Linked DNA regions of Diceros bicornis minor. The protein of the gene in region 2 interacts with the protein of the main gene of each other region in a pairwise test. Links are inferred from orthologs where the notes say so. Each region holds a gene or a part of one and is shown on either strand. Other genes may lie near its edges.

Region 1 (7,944 bases), on a different chromosome or scaffold from region 2:
CTAACAGATGATACGTGAATGTTAAAATCTGTCAGCTTTCTGCTTTATTTTTTTCTTGGCAGTTTAATAATCCTTAAATTGAGTGAAAAAAAATTATACCTACTTACTATTTTGGAAAAAATGTGCAAAAGATCAGGGAAGAAATGGTCTTTTTAAAAATGAACCAACATTCCCTTCCTAGCCTACTTATGTCATGTCTCCAAGGGCCCGAACATTATTCTTTTTTAGCAGACATCCAAATTTCAACCCAGTCCTCACCACAGTCTCAACTCACAACTTCCATTACTGAGAAAACAAATGGTTTAACATTTCAAATCTACATGAGCTGGACAGAGATTTAAAGGTTGCTTTTGGTCTTAATGGATAACGTATAGGCTCTTCTTCACAGAAAAATAATGCTGTGGTTTGACCATCCTAATTAGCCTGTGACTCTCAGTTCTTTTTCCAGGCAGGGTGATTCATTTCTTAGTTCCAAGGATAGTTTTGTAGGGCAATTCAACAAAAGCTATAATTAGCAGTTTAAGAGTGAAATCATAATAGGAAGAAAAAGCTGGCTGTGAACTGAAGTTTTGAAAACTTTCAAAATTAAATGTCATTTAAAAAAATTTAAATTCAAGTGTTTTAAAAATAGTGGCGTGTGCCTTATGGAACTCAAATTTGTGCTGAATTAAATCTCCATCAGGACTAACGTGGTTTAACGGCTTATATGTGAGAACACAAATGATTGTAAACACTGATCACATCCAATTAATACTGAGTTGAGAAAACCTCCTCGATTGCTGAAAATGGTGATTTTTTTCTTTCTTGCTGTAAATAAAGTATCAATGGCCTCTCAAAGGCCAGCCTTTCTAGTCTCCAAGGAATGCTGGGGGACCCTGAGCCGGGCGCAGCTGAGGCCTGAGCACCGTCCTTACCTCCCTGCCTCATCCCTGGGCTTGTGACCCAGTGAGTGAAGAAAACCTCCCTACAATGGTGCTGAACCCCTGCCCTGCCCTTCACACCCCGAGGTAAGTGGATTATTTGAAAAGTAAAAGTCAAATTTATGCACATCTCAAGAGTGGTTCCCTTCCTTCTGAGCAGCGTGGGCATAATGCTATAAAGATCTCTTTCCTCATGAAGCTTATTTTGTGTGTGTGTGTCGGGGGGTAGCAATAGATAAACACAAAAGTAACGTGATAATTAAAATATATAGCATGCCAGTTAGTGCTGAGGACTACTGAGAAAAACAAAGCAGGGAGCAAACCAAGAGGTGTCTGAGATGCGAAGCAGCAACTGTGGTCAGAAGGGTCTCACTGCAAAGACGACATCTGAGCCACGATCTGAAGAAGGCAGGAGTGAGCCATCCTGATACAGGGTATCGGGAAGCGTCTCAAGCTGCATGAACACCAGATGCAAAGGCCCTGGAGCTGAAAGGTGCTGGTGTGGCTGCAGCACAGGAACAGAGTGGGAGGAAATGAGATCGATGAGGTCAAAGGGGAACAGGTCGTGGAGGTGCTGGTGGCCTATTCTCAGGACAGTCTAAGAAACTTGGGGGCCACTGGAGGGTTTTGAGCAGAGGAGTGGCAGGACCTGACACGTTGTTGAAGGCTCTCTCCTTGAAGCGGCTTTGGTGGAGGTGCCAACGAGAGACCAGGAAGACAAGGTTGGTAACGGGTGTGCCACAGTTCGCAGACGCTACTGGGAGACAGGGGTTGAACCCTGGACACACGGGCGCGTGGGCGGCTGGAGGGGGGTCACCCGGGGGACACACTCGCCTGGCGTTCAGACCGGGACCCCTTCACGCCGGCTGGTGCGGCGACCCCCACCGCGCCCGCCGCTCCGCCCGGAGCGCCCGGCCGGGACCGCGTCCCCGATCGATCTTCGGCACTGCGCCCGCGGGCCTCCCGTCCCCGCCCGGCGCCCCCGCTGAGACTCCCCCGCCCGCCGGGGCCCGCGCCCGCTCGGCCCGGGGAGCAGCGCCCTCCCGCACGCCGGGGCGCAGCCCCGCCCCGAGGCAGCCCGCAGCCGCTCTGGGGGACGCTCGACGCCCCCGCGCTCCCCGCACTGCAGCGGGCGGGGACCGGGCCCGGCGGGGGCGCAGCGCGCGGACCGGCCGCAGCTCACCTTGTGCAGCTTCCACATGGCCCCCAGAGCCTTGACCTCGTGGCTGGAGTGCTTGCCCTCCTCCAGGCACTGGTAGCACACCGGCACCTTGCACTGCACGCAGTACATGCTGAGGTTCTCCAGCTCGTGGTCCGTGCAGGTGGACACCTTGCGCGGGCTCAGCCGCCGGCTCACGCGGCCCTGCGCCGGGGGCACCAGCCGGTGCTTGGCCAGCGGCCCGCGCGGCGGGTGGCAGCGCAGGCGGCACGGGTCGCAGTAGAAGACGTCGCACTGCTCGCACATGACGGTAGCCTCCTTGGGCGCCTTCTCGCAGAGCTGGCACTTGAGCGCCGCGGCCTTGCTCTGCTGGTAGCGGTCGATGACGCCCTCCAGCACGCGGTTCTTGGGGAAGCCGCGCAGCCCCCGGTCGTCCAGCACCAGGCTGCGGTGGCACTGCGGGCAGGTGATGCACGAGTTGCGGGGCACCGGGGCCAGCGCGGGCGACAGGTGGGCGGCGGGCGGCGGCACGGCGGGCGGGAAGACGCGCACGCCGTTGGGGGACTTCTGGCTCGGCGTGGTGGGCGCGCTGGCGAAGCCGCCGTAGGAGCCGTAGCCGCTGTCCGCCTCGCTGTAGAGGCTCATCTTGTCCAGGTCCAGGTAGTCGTAGTCGGAGGCGCCGGAGCCCGAGGCGCGCCGGCTGCGCGGGGACTCGGCCTCGGGCGTCTGCACCAGGATGTTGCGGGCGCACGCCTGGCACAGGTTGTGCGAGCAGGGCAGCAGGATGGGCTCGCGGTAGAAGGAGCCGCACACCGGGCACTTGAGCTCTTCCTCCATCTCCTCCATCGGGCCGGCGGCCTCCGGCTGGGCAGCCTCGGCGGGCCTTCCCGGCGCCTCCCGCGTCCCCTCCCGCACCGCGCTCTGCCGCTCGCTCTCTCCGGCTCTGCGAGGGCCCGCACCCCGCCGCCCGCTCGCCGCCCGCCCGGCCCCGCCCTGCGCAGCCGCCGATTGGACGGCGGGCGGGCGCGCAGGCTCTCATTGGCCTCACGCGCCGTCCTTCTCTCCCGCGCAGGCCCAGGGGGCTGGCGGGGACTCCGGGTGACTCCGGGTGAGGGGCGTCTGCGTTCCGGTGGCGGGTTCGGGGGAGGCGGGTCTCTAGGAGGGAGGACTCATCGTCGCCCCGTTTCCGGCGACCCTGGCGCCGTCACCGCGAGCGGGGCGTGAGGAGCCCGCCCTCACGAGGGGCTCCGGCCGAGATCTCCGGGCGGCCGCGCGGCCCGGAGCCCCCTCCCCCCCACCCTCCCGCAGGACCCTCTCCTCAGACCTCCCCCGGAGCCCCTCCCCTGATCCTCTCCCTGGACCTTCCCCTCGGACCCCCTCCCCGACCCTCTCCCCGGCACTCCCCCCGGACCCTCCCCTCGGACTACCTCCCCAGGCCTCTCCCCGGACCCTCGCCCCGATCCCCTCCCCGGACACTCCCCCCGACCCCCTCCCCGGACCCCCTCCCCGACCCTCCCCCCGACCCCCTCCCCGGACCCCCTCCCCGACCCTCTCCCCGGACACTCCCCCCGACCTCCTCCCCGACCCTCTCCCCGACCCTCTCCCCGGACACTCCCCGACCCTCCCCCCGGACACTCCCCCCGACCCCCTCCCCGGACCCCCTCCCCGGACCCCCTCCCCGACCCTCTCCCCGGACACTCCCCCCGACCCCCTCCCCGGACGCCCTCCCCGACCCTCTCCCCGGACACTCCCCCCCGACCCCCTCCCCGGACCCCCTCCCCGACCCTCTCCCCGGACACTCCCCCCGACCTCCTCCCCGACCCTCTCCCCGACCCTCTCCCCGGACACTCCCCGACCCTCCCCCCGGACACTCCCCCCGACCCCCTCCCCGGACCCCCTCCCCGGACCCCCTCCCCGACCCTCTCCCCGGACACTCCCCCCGACCCCCTCCCCGGACGCCCTCCCCGACCCTCTCCCCGGACACTCCCCGACCCTCCCCCCGGACACTCCCCCCGACCCCCTCCCCGGACCCCCTCCCCGGACACTCCCCCCGACCCCCTCCCCGACCCTCTCCCCGGACCCCCTCCCCGACCCTCTCCCCGGACCCCCTCCCCGACCTTCTCCCCGGACCCCCTCCCCGACCTTCTCCCCGGACACTCCCCCCGACCCTCTCCCCGGACCTCCTCCCCGACCTTCTCCCCGGACCCCCTCCCCGACCCCCTCCCCGACCCTCTCCCCGGACACTCCCCCCGACCCTCTCCCCGGACCCCCTCCCCGACCCTCTCCCCGGACACTCCCCCCGACCCTCTCCCCGGACCCCCTCCCCGACCCTCTCCCCGGACACTCCCCCCGACCCTCTCCCCGGACCCCCTCCCCGACCCTCTCCCCGGACACTCCCCCCGACCCTCTCCCCGGACCCCCTCCCCGACCCTCTCCCCGGACACTCCCCCCGACCCTCTCCCCGGACCCCCTCCCCGACCCTCTCCCCGGACACTCCCCCCGACCCTCTCCCCGGACCCCCTCCCCGACCCTCTCCCCGGACACTCCCCCCGACCCTCTCCCCGGACCCCCTCCCCGACCCTCTCCCCGGACCCCCTCCCCGACCTTCTCCCCGGACCCCCTCCCCGACCTTCTCCCCGGACCCCCTCCCCGACCTTCTCCCCGGACACTCCCCCCGACCCTCTCCCCGGACACTCCCCCCGGGTCCTCTCCCCGGACCCCCTCCCCGACCCTCTCCCCGGACCCCCTCCCCGACCCTCTCCCCGGACCCCCTCCCCGACCTTCTCCCCGGACACTCCCCCCGACCCTCTCCCCGGACCTCCTCCCCGACCTTCTCCCCGGACCCCCTCCCCGACCTTCTCCCCGGACCCCCTCCCCGACCTTCTCCCCGGACACTCCCCCCGACCCTCTCCCCGGACCTCCTCCCCGACCCTCTCCCCGGACCCCCTCCCCGACCCTCTCCCCGGACACTCCCCCCGACCCCCTCCCCGGACCCCCTCCCCGACCCCCTCCCCGGACCCCCTCCCCGGACCCCTCCCCGGACCCCCTCCCCGACCCTCTCCCCGGACACTCCCCCCGACCCTCTCCCCGGACACTCCCCCCGACCCTCTCCCCGGACACTCCCCCCGACCTTCTCCCCGGACCCTCTCCCCGACCCTCTCCCCGGACCCCCTCCCCGACCTTCTCCCCGGACCCCCTCCCCGACCTTCTCCCCGGACACTCCCCCCGACCCTCTCCCCGGACCTCCTCCCCGACCTTCTCCCCGGACCCCCTCCCCGACCTTCTCCCCGGACCCCCTCCCCGACCTTCTCCCCGGACCCCCTCCCCGACCTTCTCCCCGGACACTCCCCCCGACCCTCTCCCCGGACACTCCCCCCGGGTCCTCTCCCCGGACCTCCTCCCCGACCTTCTCCCCGGACCCCCTCCCCGACCTTCTCCCCGGACCTCCTCCCCGACCTTCTCCCCGGACCCCCTCCCCGACCTTCTCCCCGGACCTCCTCCCCGACCTTCTCCCCGGACCCCCTCCCCGACCTTCTCCCCGGACCCCCTCCCCGACCTTCTCCCCGGACACTCCCCCCGACCTTCTCCCCGGACACTCCCCCCGACCTTCTCCCCGGACCCCCTCCCCGACCCTCTCCCCGGACCCCCTCCCCGACCTTCTCCCCGGACACTCCCCCCGACCTTCTCCCCGGACACTCCCCCCGACCCTCTCCCCGGACACTCCCCCCGACCTTCTCCCCGGACCCCCTCCCCGACCCTCTCCCCGGACACTCCCCCCGGGTCCTCTCCTCAGACCTCCCCCCGGACCCTCCCCGGACCCCTCCCTGGACTCTTCCCACCCCGGCGGCTCCGCGGGCGGCTGTCGGGCGGCGGCGGCCGCGGGCTCCCTCAGCCTGAGGCGCGGCTCTGGAGGGGACAGGGACCGCCGAGGGTCACACTGTGGCCACGGGAAGGCCGGGACCCTGTGAAGACCGGTGCCCCCCCCCGCCGTGAACCCGGAGGGCGGCCCCGGTAAACGCGCCCCCGCTCCTCACGGCCCGCCTCGGCCGAGGACAGCCCGCCCCACCCCGCAGGGCGCGCCCTCGGGCCCGCGGGGCACCGGCGTGGGCGGGCTAGTGCTCCGCGCTCACGGCCACAGCCTGCTACCTCCCCCAGGGGGGCCACGTCACTGCGGGGTCGGCGCTGACTCCAACGGCCTTGTTCGGTGTCACGTGGCCGAGCGTCCGCGGTATCCGAGCGGGGGACGGCATCTTTGTTCCTGCGGTGAACTGGCGGTGGTGCTGGTGCTTGTGATGGTGCCTGGTGCTGGTGCTTGGTGCTTTTACTGGTGCTTGGTGCTGGTGCTGGTGCTGGTGCCTGGTGCTGGTGCTTGGTGCTGGTGCTGGTGCCTGGTGATGGTTCCTGGTGCTGGTGCTTGGTGCTGGTGATGGTGCCGATGCTTGGTGCTGGTGCTGATGACAGGGTGGTTCCAGTGTTGGTCCCCACGGACTAAGCACCCTTCCCCCTCTCCCCACACAGTGCTGGAGATTCCTGGTCCTGCCCTTTGCTGCAGAACTGTTGATTTCATGTTGGAGGACCCCCCCCAACAAAGAAAAATCTTTGAGTCAAGTGACATAGTGACATTTTTAAGTATTAACTTATTTGAAATAGTACGTCTGCCTTTTGCTTAGTGATTCATGAAATAAATGATAAAAAGTCTTTCCAAGTTCTAAGAAATCTTCCAATTTCCCATCTTCAAAAAAAGAGATAACTTGATTATGTGCAGCTATATTATAATTTAAAGCCACTTTACTGCCCAGAAAAAAATGGACCTTTTATGACCCTGCCCTTGGAGAAATAGTCCAATAAACTAGGTTATATTTCCAACACCTTCTCCAGCTGCAATAAAAACGGCACTTGATCACCGTTTGGGGGAAAAAGTTCTCATTGTTTTTTAAAGTTATGCTAATCATAAATGCTATGTGATTTATGTTTAACCTGGCTTTTAGCTAGTTGAGTCCAGAGCATCCAAAGGCGCATGTGCTCCGTTCACAGATGTAGAGTTTCTTCATGTGGGTTTGGAACGTTATCTGTATCTGTAGGCTACATCTAATTTATGGGTCCCAAGAGAGTTTGCTAATAACAAGTAGTTAATTATTAAGAAACTTAGAAAGGACTGTCCGCACCACTCATAAGTTACAGTCCTTTCTGTGACTTTTGTATGCATTTGGCTGAAAGTCACAGTAGCCTTTGGCCAGGGCTTTGGACGTTCCACCGTCAGCAGCTGTTACTCTTTTTGATGAGTCTGAACTTTGCTTATCGCAGTATACCATCTGCTCAAGACAACGTTTACCTCCCCCAAATTCATATTGACAACTACAAAGCAAATTCGCTGCTTACTTTACCCTGAAAATGAGTTTATTCCGGAATAGCCAAAAGAATTGCAATTTTGGATGCACGTTCTGTGGCAACCGATAGTTAAATCCGGAAAACAAGGGAGAGGAGCTCCTTTTATGGAAAAAAGGGGGAGCAGGGAGGGGCTGTTCTAAAGGAAAGTCCGTGGGGGCAGAGTGACAGTTCAGGGCGCCAACGGCTTCTCCTTGGCTGAGCTGGGGCATTTCTGATTGGCTGAGCTGGGGCATTTCTCATTTGCTGAGCTGCAGCATTTCTCATTGGCTGAGCTGCTGCGTTTCTCATTGGCTGAGCTGCAGCATTTGGGATTGGCTGAGCTGCAGTGTTTCTCATTGGCTGAGCTGCAGCCTTTCTCATTGGCTGAGCTGCAGCGTTTGTGATTGGCTGAGCTGCAGCATTTGTGATTGGCTGAGCTGCAGCATTTGGGATTGGCTGAGCTGCAGCATTTGGGATTGGCTGACCTACAGCATTTCT
Region 2 (7,684 bases):
ACTGTTTCCATGGGAAAATGAAGAAATTATGAGTTTTAAATAAATGACTTAGAAAGAATCTTTATAACACAATGACACTTCTGTAAACTAGGTATCTCCTATATTTTACTCAATCTGTGAAACTTCTATCTCTGCTCCAACTCACAAAATTGCTTTTCTCACAAAAATCACATCTTCCCACTTCCATCCCTCTTTTATCTCATCTCAGCCTCTAGTCTTCTAACCATCTCCTCCTTCCTGTTTTCTTAGTCTATCTGGCCTCTCCAAGCTTAATTTCTTTTCCAACCTAGCCTACAGTCAGTATTCACTTCCCTACACCCCCACTCTCCCCTTCAATTATCTTATACTGTTTGTAGACCAGTGCACCTTGTTTATCAATCTCCATAAACTGTATTTTTTCCTCCACTTCTCTTGGGCTACCATATGCCACTTAAGAAGGCCACATATCCACGTTCATTGCATTCATTACAAATATCTAAATCCAGTCAAAGCTAGACTTTCAATGGTGCTCAGCAATTCTTTAACACTTCCTTTGATAATTTTTCTTCCTACTCTCCATCAGTCTTGTTGCAAATCCTTATTTTTCTCCTTCAGACCCCAACTTTAGTGCCAGCTTCCTCCCTCGCTGCAAATGACTTCACCATCTACCCTGCAGAGAATATAGAAGCCATGAAGTAGAATTTTCCCCAATGGCTTTCTTTTCCATCTCTCTACATTTTCACCCATCTTAACCTCCATTCTTCCTATTACCAAATGTCCATGTTACTAATCTCTTACTATGTCCTAGGGCTTACACACTTTGTTAAAAGCTCTACTCCATCCTACCCCCAAGTCACACTGGATACTGGCTAGTTTACTTTTCTATCTCTGGGCTTTTGTTCATGCAATTTCTTTTTCCTGGAATTCTTTTCTTCCTGGGAAAACTCCAACTCATCCTGCAAGATCCTGCTAAAACATCTCTCTTCTGTGAAGCAGTCACACACACACAAAGAATTCCTTTTCTACTTCTCTAACATTTCCTCTCTGCTCTGCTAACATACCACTTACAAACCATATTTTGTAGCTAGTTGTATTCTCTCCCCCATTAAAAGTAGCTTCTGTAGGCAAGGACTATGGCTTATTCATCTTTGTATACTTAGAACTTGCCAAAGATATAACAGGCATTTAAAAAATTAGCCAAAATGACAGCACCAAATAACATGACAATTATAGCTTCCCTAAGGTTCCCCCTTCCCAACTCTCACATCTGTAAGCAAACGTCCAGGTTCAAAATCTGTCATATGTGATTCTCCTCCTCCATTGTCAACATGCAATTTGCTACCACATTGTTGATTTCCCCTCAGCTACACATAATTTATCTTTCCTTTCTGATCCCACTGTCAACACACTAACCCAGGTTCACATCAACTATATCTATTTAACACTACTGTATCTGGTTAGCTCTTTGCAAACTTCCACAACCCAAAAGCAAATAATAACATTAAAACACAGCTTTCACGACAACATGCCCTTGCTCAACATTTTCCTAATCTTCCCAAATACAAACCTTCCACTCCAAGCCCTCTGTTCATTCGGTCTTTAAACCTTTGCTTAGGTGCTTTTCCATGCAGGGAATAGCATCTATCCTAATTACATGGCTTGGTTTATATGAAGTTGATTCAATACAGATCTTAATCCAAATTGATCTCTCCTCTCAATTGCTACAGCACGTATTGTATTTACTAAACAAGCACTAATTGGTTCATGAGATCATAAGCTCCTGGATCTCAAGAACTTTCCTGAAAGAGAAGTGAGGGAAAGAGATGCTCTAGCATAGTGTTTTGTTCTTTTTTAGCAGGTACTCAACAAATACCTCTTGAGGTAACCTGAACTGACTAGTAAAAACTGGTCAAATGAATGACCAATAGTAGCCAGCATCTACCACACAGCCCCTCTTTGATCAAAAGCAACCACTGACTGTATGGTAAGGGGTAAAACAAGAAAGGACGGGGCATACCTCATAAAGGAGTTAGGCATAATGAAACGCACTATGTGACTCTCATTCACTCAGCAAATATTGATGCCTCCTAAGCACCAGACACTATTCTAGGTTACAGGGGTGAACATGACAGACATATTCACGAAGACAGGAAGATCCACGCCTCCAATGGCATTTACATTCCACGGATCGAGTGATTAATTCTCCAGCCTGTACAGTACCTTTTTGTAAGTCAGTGAATAAATCACTAGAGGTCCTCTAAAACTATTTTCCAGGTTTAAGAACCATGTCTGACCACGTTCCAAGGGCAGTCAGCCACAATACTGTGTTGGTTCTTGTTTCTTTAAATTCATTTGGATCATTCCACTGCGTGACAAATAACTTGTCAGTGTCAGTGTCCGTGCGGGTTGGGCCCTGTATGCTATCGAGACATCAATGCGCGTGGAGCACTGTCATCCAGAAAACTGTGCACGGAACCAGGGAAATGCACTTAAGAGATTTAGACGAAAATGTTGATTTGGACAATGAAGGGGAAGGCACTGTCACGCCCTCCTCTCCTGGTCCACGCCAAAGAGCAAACGATCAGGGTCGGTTTTTTTACAAATGAAATCTGGTTCCTCTGGGCGGAACCGGAAAGGGATGTGTAAAGATTGCCCTCCCAGACCCCAGGACAGCAAGGGGTTGGGGGATGCTCCGACTGGACTCTGCGCCTTACCCAGACAGGCAGGGAAGAGAAAGGGGGCCTGACGGCGGAGCCAGCGGTATCCGACCCCGGGCGCCGAGCCAGCAGTGGGACTAAGGGTCCGCCTTAGACTCTGGCGCCCGCCAGTCCGCTCGTCTGTCCGCCAACGCCGGGACCACTGCGCAGCCGCGGCCCAAGGCTTACCGCAAGACCGGACCGAGCCCGGCTGTGCCGAGGCGCGTCCTCCCAGACGGAGACTGGATGCGGCTGGGGCAACCACCGTGACAAAGATGTTCCCCTCAATTGAGCGGTGGAGAGGACGCAGCCGTTCCGCCACCACTTCCCATATCCGGGCACGTGACAAGCCTCCACGCCGGAAGTCGACCCCGTAGAGGAGGAAGGAGATGCGGCGGTGGGCGTGGCAAGGCGGGGCAAGCTCCCGCCGGAGGGGCGTGGCAAGGAAGGCAGGGGCGGGGCCTCTGTCGCTCTGAGAGTGACTAGGGACCTGGGGATTTGGTGCTGCGTATTACTTTCTCTAAAAGAGTTATTTATTCAGATATTTTCAGCAAGTCATATAAGAAGAGATCCGATGAAGTATTTTCTTTTTTGCATGTGTAAAGCTCTGTTAACTCTAGATCCTTGCTACTTATTGCATGGAGAGTTTAAATGAGTTAAATCAGAATCTCTGGGGCACGGGACCCAGACATCAGTACTTTTAGTATCTTCTGAGAAGATTCTACTATGCATCTACCGTCGAGAACCACTGATGTAGTGACCCTGATATTCAAAAGTGTGGTCCGCGGACCAGCTGTTTGTGCATCATCTGGCTTTTCTTTAGAAAATGCAGCCTCTCCCGCTTACTTCAGATCTACTGAATTGGCATCTGCATCTTAACAAGATGACACCTATGCACATTTAAGTTTGAGAAGCACAGATGATGCCAGTGTTGCTGGTTGCAAGGCAAGTGATTCATTTATTCCATGTTCTTGGCACCTGTTTTATGCCAGGCACTTTGATCGAGGTGCAGAGGTGATTCAGACAGGAATCCTACCCTGCAGATGTTCACAGTATGGTAGGGCTAAACAAGATATGCATACAAATATGTATAAAATAAGACAAAATAAGTGACCAAGAGGTACCGGTCAGATAAGTGCTGAGAATTCAAAGGAGCGATTTCTTTGCTCCTGCTCAACGCAGTCCTTTGCAAGGGTTCTGCAGGGATCCATTCATGCATGCGTTCATTTATTTGACAAACAGCGCCACCTCTATGCCAGGCACTGTGTTAGGTGCTGAGATACACTCAGAAGGGGGCACACTCTCATTGGGGAGACAGAATTAAATAGAAGATGGATAAATTACAGTCTAGTGAGGTAAACCCAACAACAAAGGTAGAAAAAAAGAGACTAAGTACCACGGGAATGCAAAAGAGGGAGTAACTCACTTTGTCAGGGATGGATTCACTGAGAAAGGGACAAATGAGCTGTGCAAAGTATCTTTCAATGTATCAAGATACAATTTGGTGGAAAAATCAGCAGAAATAGTAGGGACTTGTTTGCTACTGAGATCAATATGCTCTAGTCAATGCTACTTGGAATGCTTTTCAGTTTCATTGAATGACTTCCCTTCTAAGAGCAGGATCTGTATCTAATCCTATCTTTACAAAGACTCCTTAGGTCCTTCCCACTCAGTCTCAGAACACTTACTATGGACACTTTTTATATGACAATTGCATGTGCTATTTTGTCCTATATCTTTCTTTTTACGTGTGTATTTACTGTCCTCTTCAAAGTTGAGAAGTGAATTGCATTTCAGGAGCCTGGACTTCTTCCCTGAACTCCAGATTTGTGTATCCATTGCCTCCTCAATACTTCCACTTGGATGTCTGTTGGGCAGCTCAAACTTGTGTGTCCAAAAATTAAATTCTCCTCTCTCCTCTCCCCTTGTGGATTCCCCCAAAAGTAGAGGCTGAAACAAAGAGTTATGTGCAGTAGTTTATTTAGGGCTTTGATCCCAGAGAGCAAGAGTGAGAGAAGGGGGAGGGGAAATAACACAAGGAAGAGGGAGAGACAATATAAGGCTGTGTTATCGAGTTGGCATCATCATGTTTGAATGTTTTCTTGATCCCTTGGGACCAAACTTCATGAAAGAGTCTCAAAACAGTCCACTGAAAGCTCTGTCCTCTGTCAGCTCCTGTCCACCTTTGATCAAAGGTTAATGCTCCTGGGCATTGACTACTCCACACTTCCAAATTGCAGCATTGTGAATGCCAAGCTGACTCCCCCATCACAGAAGTCCTGAGGCAGGAAGTAAGAGGAGAGGTGCTGTCATGGTGTACTTGCCCAAAACTCATCAACCTCTGTTCAGAACATGTTGCTGCAGCAGTGGTTGGAATAAGAAGATGAAAGGATTTGAAGTAGTGACAGAAAATACACAGAAAGACACAGAAGGTGTCCATTTCAGTCCACTCCTTGTACCATTCGTATCTGCTTGTGCCCTGTTAAGTCTAGTCCTTTACAGAGGCCCCTTCAAGATGATGGCCACTCACAATCTCTGCAAGGACTTAATATAAGAGAGTTAGTGGAATAAGCTTCAGTACCTACTGCTACACTGAAGCCAAGACCTTACTTGTATTCATTAACTCCCTCCTCTACTACCCATTCTAATGTCCCTTCACTGTTGGCTAGCACATCAACTGATCTAGGTTGTTTCCCTGATGAGGTAACCCAGACCTTCAGCTTTCATTTTCCTTGCTCTGGTTAGGCCATGATTGCCTGTGCAACTTATCCCTGGGTACAGAAATACCAAGATAAACCCCAGTGAATTCCTTGGATTCCAGATTTATTCCTCCCTACTGCTATTGTGTAGTAGCAATCCCAGACTCTTTTGCTAATCGCAGTTGATTACTCCCACCAATATAGTAACTCTTTTCTTTGCCAGCTGGTCTACTGCCATGAAAAGCCCAAAGAGACCAAGTGATAGTGAGAGAGTTTCCAGCTCAGTGCATTCCATCCTGTGTATTCTAGGGGTAGCATCCTCCACCCAACCCTTGGGGAACTAATTATAGTAATCTAGCAAAGCCTAAATTTGAGAGGCAGGAAACACAAACTCTGTAAGTGGGTCACTGAGAGTGATGTTAAAATAGGCCAATCCTGCTCCTGGGTTTCTGGAGTCACGTCTTTAGCTGTTGGGGGTGCTCTCTATTGGTTGGTTTCGAGCACTTACCACATCCTGTAGGACAACACTCCAATCTCAGGCAGGCACATTAGCTGAGCCAGTAACAAGTCATTCCACCATTTTTATAATGCTGGCTGCTTCTGAGTGATGAGGGATATGACAATATCAGTGGATTCCAGGGTCATGTGTATGTTGTCACTTTTTTTTTTTGACTGTAAAATGTATTGCTTGGTTGAGGTAATGTTAATCAGGAATGGTATAATTCCAGTGATTGTGGATGTTGGCAGAGTCCCTTCAGGCAAGAAAGACAAACCTAGGAATCTGTAAATATTTTTACTTCAGGTCACTTCTCTTTATATACAAAGCAAACAATGAAGAATACTGCTCCAAATTCTGCCAACTGGGAAGGTTCCCCTTCAACTTTGTTCTTTAAAGCCATCCCTAAATGGGCTATAGTGCAGCAGCAGTCCAATTTTGCCTACCCACCAGCATCATGTGCCAACCCATCTGTGAACCAGGCTCAATTTTTTTATTCTGTGTTAGGTATTCGTGGGGAACTCTAAGAGGCCATGGGAGTGAGTTGAGAAAGAAATATCAGTGCTATAGAAGTGCCATGGGAGTCTGAGTTATCCATTCATGTAATTTATTTGTGTCTTCTGGACCTGCTCAGCCTCAATCCTATACCGTTTCCGTACTTCAGTAGGTTGCTGCTGCCGCACCCATGCACTTATGACTTGGTGGATCTGGTAATATCCAGCTCATGATAGATAGCTCTAGTTTCCCCAGTGGAGAATAGTTCTCTGCCTCAGAAGGCATGGCCTTGGAGAACTCTTGGGAATCTGTGCTGCAACTCTCATACTGGGGGCCTTCCAGAAATTTCACGCAGCGCTCTTATCCATCACAGATCCCTCCAGCACCATTAGATCTGCTAGAACAAATGGCCTAAGCATTAGGCAACTTGCGTCACAGCCCTTCTGGGCAACGTATGCAAGTAATGAGTACTTTAGTTTCACAATAAGTTCATTACAACATCTTTACTTCTGGGAAACATATTCTAGTGGTGGTTCTTTAGTCTCACATAATAAATTCATTCTGACATTCCTGCTTCCCTGAGTCTTCTGATTCCTTTCTCAATACTTATTCAAAGTTGTTCTAACAATCTCATTTAGCACCGGCCATCATCATACTCAAGCTTTCAGGAGGTACCAAGGCTATGTGTTAGGACTGACTCCAGGTGTCCTTGCCAAAACATTAAATCCAGATCACAGGTAAATGGCACTATCTCTTAAGTTTTCTCTTCCAGCCTTATAACCCGATTCCTCTGTCTGATACTCTAAATATTCACTCTCACACATATTCCACTGGTGTCTATTGGTACATAATAGCCAGTTTTGCAATTCCTTTTGAGTTAGTCTATAGTTTAGTGGTTTTCAACTGGAGGGTGATTTTGACCCCCAAGGGACATTGGGTAATGTCTGGAGACATTTTTGGTTGTCAATACTGGGAGGGTTCTACTAGTGTCTAGTGGGTAGATGCCAGGGATGCTGCTAAATAACCTACAATACAGAGGACAGCCCTCCACATCAAAGAATTATCCAGCCCAAAATGTCACTAGTGCTGAGATTGAGGAATCTTGGTATAGTTCTCTTTAGAGTAGGGATTACAATCCCCTGCATGGGTTGTGCCGTGATCTGACTCTGGTTACGGGCTTGAAGCCATGAGGGTAATGGGGGTGGTTATTGAGGAAAGTAAGGTCATATCAGGAGGCACTTGCCCACATATTTTTTTTTTGTGCAGCATTTCCAGACAAGAAGAGGCTGCTTTCCTTTATCAAGAGGAAGGAGACTGTT
Region 3 (7,745 bases), on a different chromosome or scaffold from region 2:
AAATTAAAAGTGCTATGGGAGCACGTAGGAGAAACATTTAATCTAAACTTTGGGAGATTAGGGATTGTGCATATCTAGCATCTAACACTGGCTAGCATATTAGTAGTGAAACAACTTTTTTTTTGAAGAAGAGAATTCATTGAGAACATGAAATACTCGAGTAAGATGCTAAGGGATATGGTTGAGACACCATTCCAAAAGACCACTGGCATTTCCACCACAAGGGAACTAACTTAAGATCTCATTTAATTATCACATCTAGCTCATTGTACAGCTAAATTATCCAAATATTTCAGGCTTGTGTCCTGCTCCAAAGGGGTAAGACTCCAGGTGGGGTCTCCTCAGCAATAATCTGGGTCAGGTGCCTGGACTGAGAGGTTGACTCTAACACTTGCTGACAGCTGGGAGACCCACATAATCTTCATATTGTTCTTCCAATTCCCTTCAGTAGATTTTATTGTGATTTTTTAATGTCAAAGCCCCGCCTAAAAATATGACCTTAATAGCCTCTTGGTTTCTCTTTATTTTGCGCACACACACACACTCTTATACCCAATATTATCTCACATATGATACATACATACATATATATACACAATCCATGTATATGTATATATGCATATATATACACAGTCTGACTCTCTCCATTAGAATATCAGATCTTGCAGAGAAGGAATGCAAACTGTTTTGTTCACCACTACATTCCCAGCATCTAAAACAGTGCCTGATATATAGTAGGTACTCAAATATTTATTGACTGACTCTGCCTAGTCCTATGGTACCACTTTCTTATTTTAGAATTTTCAACATTATTCTTAAGGACATGATCTGACTGTAGACAATTTCCTTTCTCTGGGCATTTGTTTCTTCATTTGTAAAATGCAGGAAATTAAATAATCTATAAAATGTCCATTTATGCTAAAACTTCATGACTCTGTGATCAAAACTTTTTTGAATTATAAAGTATTCCTTTTCCAAGGGCCAGCCTGGTGGCTTAGTGGTTGGGTTTGCACACTCCACTTTGGCTGCCTGGAGTTCGCTGGTTCTGATCCTGGGTGCAGACCTTCACACCACTCGTCAAGCCAGGCTGTGGCAGCGTCCCACATATGAAGTGGAGGAAGACTGGCACAAATGTTGACTCAGTGACAATCTTCCTCAAGCAAAAAGAGTAAGATTGGCAACAGATGTTAGCTCAGGGCCAATCTTCCTCACCAAAAAAAAAAAAATTCCTTTTCCACTTAATTCACTATGTAATTTCCATTTAGTTATTTTCTTATTGTCATATACAATAATGTACATGTAGTTACAGTTCTCAAAGAACTTTTGCTTCCATTGTTTCCTATGACACCTCGGACTGCTGGAGCATTATAATTATTACTTCTGTGTTAGTTCTACAGATGAAGTTTACTTAGTTTATTACTTAGTTTAGTTCTATAGAGGAAGAACTACAGGCTCAGAGAGGGTATATGAGTTGCTGAAATTCACCATGCATCTCATTTCACTAAACCTATCTGTTATGAATAAAAGTTGTTGGCTTGGCTAATACTTTAAGTATTTTTATAGTCATATAAAATAATTTTCTCCAGAGTATTTTTTAATATATATTCATCTCATATGTGTAGTTGAAGGGAATCTAACATGGTTCTCCAGTATTCCCAAGCATTTTGGTTAGACTCTAGCCCAGCCCTTTCTATAGGAAAAGAGAAAGCTACTGGCATGTTTGAGTTGAGAGCACAAAACATGACCAAATCTACTCCCTGTCCATCCTGCAATAGTGTCTAGTATTTGATTTATTTCTTTGAGTAAAGGCATGGCCTCCAGAAAACCCCCACAATGAAAAAGAATACAGAGTAATCAAAAATTTTTGGGTTCAAATCTCCACTCCACCATTTACTAGTTTTGTGACTGTAAACAAGTCATGGACCTTCTTTTCTTCATCAGGAACGTGTACTAAGAATAACTACTTCTTAAGAAAAATGTAATAATTAAATTAGATGGTGTAAATTAGTGCCTGGTATATAATACACACTCAGCAAATGTGAGCTCCTCCCCATTCTGGCAACTTGGAGGAGAAACATATCAATCTAATCACATTTTAACAAACAAGCTGTAAGGCAATGGAAAGAGGAAAAGGAAAAACAAGGTAGGTCTGGAATGTGGTACTCAGTAAATGTTGCTGAATGAATAAATTAATTACAGACAGGTACTAGCTCTACATATTTTGATAAAAGCAATGAAGAAACTAAACTTCAAATATTCTTAGTGCAAGACAATTACAGTTTAGCCCTAGAAAAGAAAGGCTGGCATTTCTTTGCAATCACTTTAACTGAATTTGTTTTCCTTTAACTTTGGGTTTCTTATAGGACCATGTGGCTTCTGGGCACCATTGGAACCTTCCAACTTGTGAGCTGGTTATTTAACATTATTCTCAAGTCTAGAGAAATCAAAAGAGAATCTTCTCTAGTCTAGAATCTAGGAAGAAACAAGTAGGTAAGAGATAAAGACTTTTTTTGGCAGCCAAGAGGAATGAGTCCTGGCTTGGAAACATGGGTGTTGAGAAGGAGTTGGGTGCCAGACAGAAGAAACAGGGAATCAAGAACTGAGGAAGCGCGATTGATGCAACATCTCAAAGGCTTCATTAGATAATCTTTTAAAGTCCCTTCCATCTCCAAGATTCTATAAACCCCCTGGTTTAAACCTTACTCCCAAAATGAATTCTACAACAGTTTCTACAATACACTGTATTCTTGTAACATGTCCAGGAAAGACTGAGTTCAGCAGTTTGTGCTCGGATATTTGTCTAGAGAAATTTTTGTATTCTTAATTCTGAAGGTCATTTTATAGAAGATGCATTGTGGAGGACGTATATGGACAACGAGTAGGAAACTAAGCTCCTAGGGACAAGCGCCTCCTCTTGTTCCACAGCAGCCAGCACTGTGCCCACTCTGATGAAAACTATTCCTAACAGGATTTTCCTCCTCCTCCTCCGTCTTCTAGTTCACTTAGCGTTTCCCACTCAGGAACTCCACGTCAGTACCAAATCACCCAACCCTCTTCCCCATTTTACCACATTCATACCCATCCCACACCACCCCATCCCACCTCACCTCACCACACACACACACACACACACACACACACACACACACACACTCTCCCATTAGATAAAAATCTAATGACATTTCCTTCCAGACGGGTTGGAATCCCTGTTTCAAAGGAAGCTATAAAACTGCAAGGGCTTGAGACTGGTTATCTTTAAACCCAATAGTCTTACATTTCCATGGCACTTTACATGCACTTTCTTTTTTAGCTTTACAACAATCTTATAAAGAACTAAGAGGGATTCAAAAGAAATAATCCAGGAATATCTGATGCAGAGGGCCTTGAAGCTTGGATTCTGGAGAGAAAGAAGAGAGAAAACCAAATTCCTAGGACACAGTCCCAAGAGACCATGAGATAGCTGGTGAAGGAAATGCAGGTGCAGACAGCAGATCTGACGAGACGCCAAAGGCGTGGGGTTATCCCTGTTGAAGGTTGAGGGAGTTAAACTCACTGGTTCCACCTTGAATGGGAGCGAGGGGGCAAGGTACATACTAATATCTAGTAATGTCAAGATTTGGCGAAAGAAGAATTTTCGTTGTGATGGGGTTCCAGTGTGTTATGAATCTGCATTTTTAATGGAGGAGAGGGTTTCCAAGACTTAGAAAACACCAGAGAGAAGAAACCTAAGAGTCTGAGCCTCTGATGAGAGAAGTAGGAGAAGGGATGACCAGAGGAAAATGAGTTGGAACAACAGAATAAAATGTTTCATGCATTTAATATGTGCCAAGATAAATAATTTAAGACTGCTGGGTTTCAACTGTATGAACTTTGCACTGTAAAGTTCTCAAACACACAAAGAGAAGTCGGTTGTACCTTAAGCTGACTGTGTGTGCTAAACTCTCACGCATAGCCTGAGAAGGGGAGCCAGGAAAAAGAGAAGAGGGTCAGCGTAAGGGCAGGGATGCTGTTCTCCAGAAGCAGTCTTCTGTACAGAAAGTGCCCTTTAGGGTAAATATGAGGATTAATCTAAGAGTAAGCAAGTAACATAAGAAATTCACCTGGAAGAGCCTTTAGCCTGACTGTGGTGGCTGCTCTTCGACCCTTAGCTGTGGTGGGGCAGGAGGATGCAACCAGGTACATCATGGAGCTCTTCAGCAAAGCTGAATGTTCTTGACGGGGCCACCTGGCACTCTGGCAATTCTGAGGAAAGAAAGTATTTTCCCACTCAGCTCTTCAAAAACCCACTTTCCCAGAAAAGCAGCAGTGGGGGTGAAGAATTAGTTTTGCATTTGGACTAACAAATTAGAACCGTTTTCTTTCCAGTTCGGAGGTTTCCTTCAGCCTTTCTTAAAGTCAATACAAATTAATCTACACTGTATTTGCTATTAAAGAAGTCTGGAGTATTTTATTTTGTTTTTTTAAACCCAATCGCCATTTTCCCCCGAGAGCTAGAAAGTAAATGGCCACGTTTATCCCCAGGATCAGGAAATTCAGACAGAGGCACGTTGTTTAGGAGGCGCCCAAGGTGAAGTCGGAAAGAACTTGTGGCTGCAGGTCAGTCTTCCTCTCCAGTTTTGGGCGGTGCCTCCTGAGCTGCCCCCAGACAGATAGGCTGTGGTCGCCAGAGGAATTTTCCCAGGGAGAGACTGGCCTGAAGGGCACCTCAGGTCCACGCTGCGGTTTGCAGTGGTTTGCATCACCAGCGCGGGGACAGCGTTTTCGTTAACTAGGGTGAGTGAAGACCGCGAGCGGACTCCGGCCCCAGGCCCGATCCGGGCAGGCGCGAGAAGGGGGTCGCGCACCGCAGATCCTCCCCCCTTCGCCGGTTCCCTCAACCGGCGGGAACCCTGAGCCTCTGCAATGCGCCGCCCCCGCGCGGCTTCGGGAAACAGAGCCTGCAGCTCAAGCTGCTGGGGCCCTGGCGACAGGGGCCGAGCCTGCAGATCGGGAGCCCCGGGAGCAGGACCTTGGAACCCCTGGCGCGCAGCCCTCGCCGGGGCACGTCCCTGCGCCCCACCTACTGGTGCCGGCCCTTTGGTCCCCCGCCTCTCTCCCCGCTTCGTGCGCAGCCCCGGCCGCGCTCCAGCGGCTGCGGAGGCCGAGAGGCCGCAGGGACCCGAGCGTGCGGGCGGCGAAGGCACCACGTGTCCGACCCGGGCTGGCGCGGGCGGAGCGGGCCGGGCCCGACTCCCCGAGCCTGAGCTCACATCAGCGGCGGCGCCCGGTCTCGTCCGCACCCGACCCCGGCCCAGCGGGGCCACGGCCACTCGGGCGCGCGTGGATGCCTCCTCCTGGACGGCGCGATGGGGCCCTTCTGGCAGAGAAAGGGTAAGACCAGGCGTCTGCGCGGGCTCTGCTGTCAGTGCCCCCGGGCACGGAAGGGTGACTGATCCTTGCGGTCCCATGAGGGCCGAGATGGGCGCTCGGGACCCCGGGAAGGCCCCTTCCAGTGCCTGGGGGTATCCAGGAAAGGGAGACTCAGTAGAGGCAGACTGAGGGACAGCGTCCCTGATTGATTGGTGACTGAGACGGTTGGGCTGGACGTCTCGTTGCAACAGGCAAGGTTGACCAGGCCAGTGGTTTTGGGTCGCCCTTTACTAATTGTCCTCGGGAGTGGGGCTTAGAAATGGTGCCTTTTGATAAGGAAGGTTCAGTAACGACTTTACGGTATCCGAAAAGAAAGCCTCAGTAGATCGCTCCAAAGATGTGGATGCCAAAGTCCCCGGAGGACACTTTTCGAGTTTCTACTTCCTTGGGGATTTTTCATACAGATTGTTTCAGGTGAGGAGGGAGGACCTATTTTTCAACAATGTGTTGTTGAAGGCCTCAGCTGATGAGCTCAAAACATTCTGGGTGTCATCAACAGGTTTGAATTTAAAATGGGTGAACTGTAGGGGCCGGCCTGGTGGCGTAGTGGTTAAGTTGGCGCCCTCCCCTTCTTTGGCTTGGGGCTCGCGGGTTCGCATGCCAGGCGCTGACACACCGCTTATCAAGCCATGCTGTGGCGGCGTCCTGTATAAAGTAAAGGAAGATGGGCACAGATGTTAGCCCAGGGCCAATCTTCCTCAGCAAAAAAGAGCAGGATTGGCAACAGATGTTAGCTCAGGGCTAATCTTCCTCACCAAAAAAAAAAGTAAAATGGGTAAATTGTACAGAGAAAGAGATCTGTAAGCTTAAACTGGTGCGTGGGAAAAGATTATTAAAGCTTTAAATGGAAGGAGTCACCTGGGGAAAGCTGCTTTCCTGTTGTTTTTATCATGTTCTTCTGTGTTGAACAAGCAGTGAGGTCAAGGAAAGCAGGCACCTCCACTGCTAGGTTCCTTGCAGGTCCTCTGGCCCCGACCACAGACCCTGGGCAGCAGAAGCAAAGAGCAGCTCCAGTGTCTGAATCTCTCTTCTCAGAAAAGGGCCAAATTTGAAGCCCACAGTTCAGAATCTTCAACTTACAGTTTCTGCTGCAGCACTGCTAGCTCAGATACTTGGCCAGGCACATGTTAGAGATGTTTGCTGCTTCTTCCCCAAAAGGTGCCCTTGGGGGCAAAAGAAGTAATCGCTGTGCCAAGGTGTCTCCACCTGTACATTTGGGAGAACAGTAGCACCTGTCCCCTTGAGAGATGGGTCCAAGTGAAATTATTTTTTTACTTGCTGTAGGTTTTAGAGCAGAGATATATTATCACAATGCAGCTTTTGGTTATTTAAGTTATTTGGTAATGACACTATTTTCATGCAGAACACATTTAAAGCACACTGTTCAATCCTTGTTGATCTCCATATATTTAAATCATATATTTAAATCATATTTCATTAACTTGGTTTGCATTTAATAGTCTTTAAAGTGATATAATTGAGACCAAATAACTGTATGAGTTCTTAAATGGTAGTTTCCTGAAAAACAGAGTCCAAACTTACATTTTTATAGATGAGCTACTGGGGCTGGCAGAGAGTTGTCCAGGGGTGTGAATTAGCCAGTGGCAAACCTAGAACCAGCCATCTCTTCACACCCAGTCCCGTGGCTTTCTCATAGGGGCTGGCCCTGTGGCGTAGCTGTTAAGTGCGCGCGCTCCGCTGCTCGTGGCCCAGCTTCGTATCCCAGGCACACGAGGATGCACCACTTGTCAGGCCATGCTGTGGTGGCGTCCCATATAAAGGAGGAAGATGGGCATGGATGTTAGCCCAGAACCAATCTTTCTCAGCAAAAAGAGGAGGATTGGCAATGGATATTAGCTCAGGCCTGATCTTCCTCACAAAAAAAAAAAAAAAAGAAAAAGAAAGAAGCATAAAAGAGTAACTTTACAGACTAGTGATTGGCAGGACTTTGAGATGGAGTGAAGGAGTCTGTGACTGTAAAGGAGTAGAGTAGCACGAGGGAGATCTTTGTGATGATGGCATAGCTGTCTATCTTGATTGTGATGATGGTTATACGAATCTACATATGTGATAAAGTATCATAGAGCTACACACGCACATTGCACTAAGGTCAGTTTCCTAGTTTGATATTATAGTACTTTATTTTTTTAATTTAATTAATTTTTTTATTGAGGTAGCATTGGTTTATAACATTATATAAATTTCAGGTGTATATCATTATATTTCAACTTCTGTGTAGACTACTTTGTGTTCACCACCCAAAGTCTAACTGCCGTAAGTCACCATACAAATGTGCCTTTTTAGCCCTTTCGCTCTCCCTCTCCCCGCTTCCCCTC

What was found.
Region 1: the proteins of EXOC1 (region 2) and TRIM9 interact in a two-hybrid assay, tested with the Homo sapiens proteins (2 studies listed by BioGRID and IntAct). The link is inferred for Diceros bicornis minor from reciprocal best matches to the Homo sapiens genes EXOC1 and TRIM9.
Region 3: the proteins of EXOC1 (region 2) and SYBU interact in a two-hybrid assay, tested with the Homo sapiens proteins (2 studies listed by BioGRID and IntAct). The link is inferred for Diceros bicornis minor from reciprocal best matches to the Homo sapiens genes EXOC1 and SYBU.

Annotation. Positions count from the first base shown.
Region 1 is NC_080744.1:1,164,215-1,172,158, reverse strand, and holds the start of TRIM9 (E3 ubiquitin-protein ligase TRIM9), read right to left. Parts: upstream 3,011-7,944; 5' UTR 2,926-3,010; coding exon 2,104-2,925; intron 1-2,103. UniProt on the Homo sapiens protein: E3 ubiquitin-protein ligase which ubiquitinates itself in cooperation with an E2 enzyme UBE2D2/UBC4 and serves as a targeting signal for proteasomal degradation.
Region 2 is NC_080747.1:43,525,412-43,533,095, reverse strand, and holds the start of EXOC1 (exocyst complex component 1), read right to left. Parts: upstream 3,017-7,684; 5' UTR 2,865-3,016; intron 1-2,864.
Region 3 is NC_080760.1:27,009,327-27,017,071, reverse strand, and holds the start of SYBU (syntabulin), read left to right. Parts: upstream 1-4,735; 5' UTR 4,736-4,773; intron 4,774-7,745. UniProt on the Homo sapiens protein: Part of a kinesin motor-adapter complex that is critical for the anterograde axonal transport of active zone components and contributes to activity-dependent presynaptic assembly during neuronal development.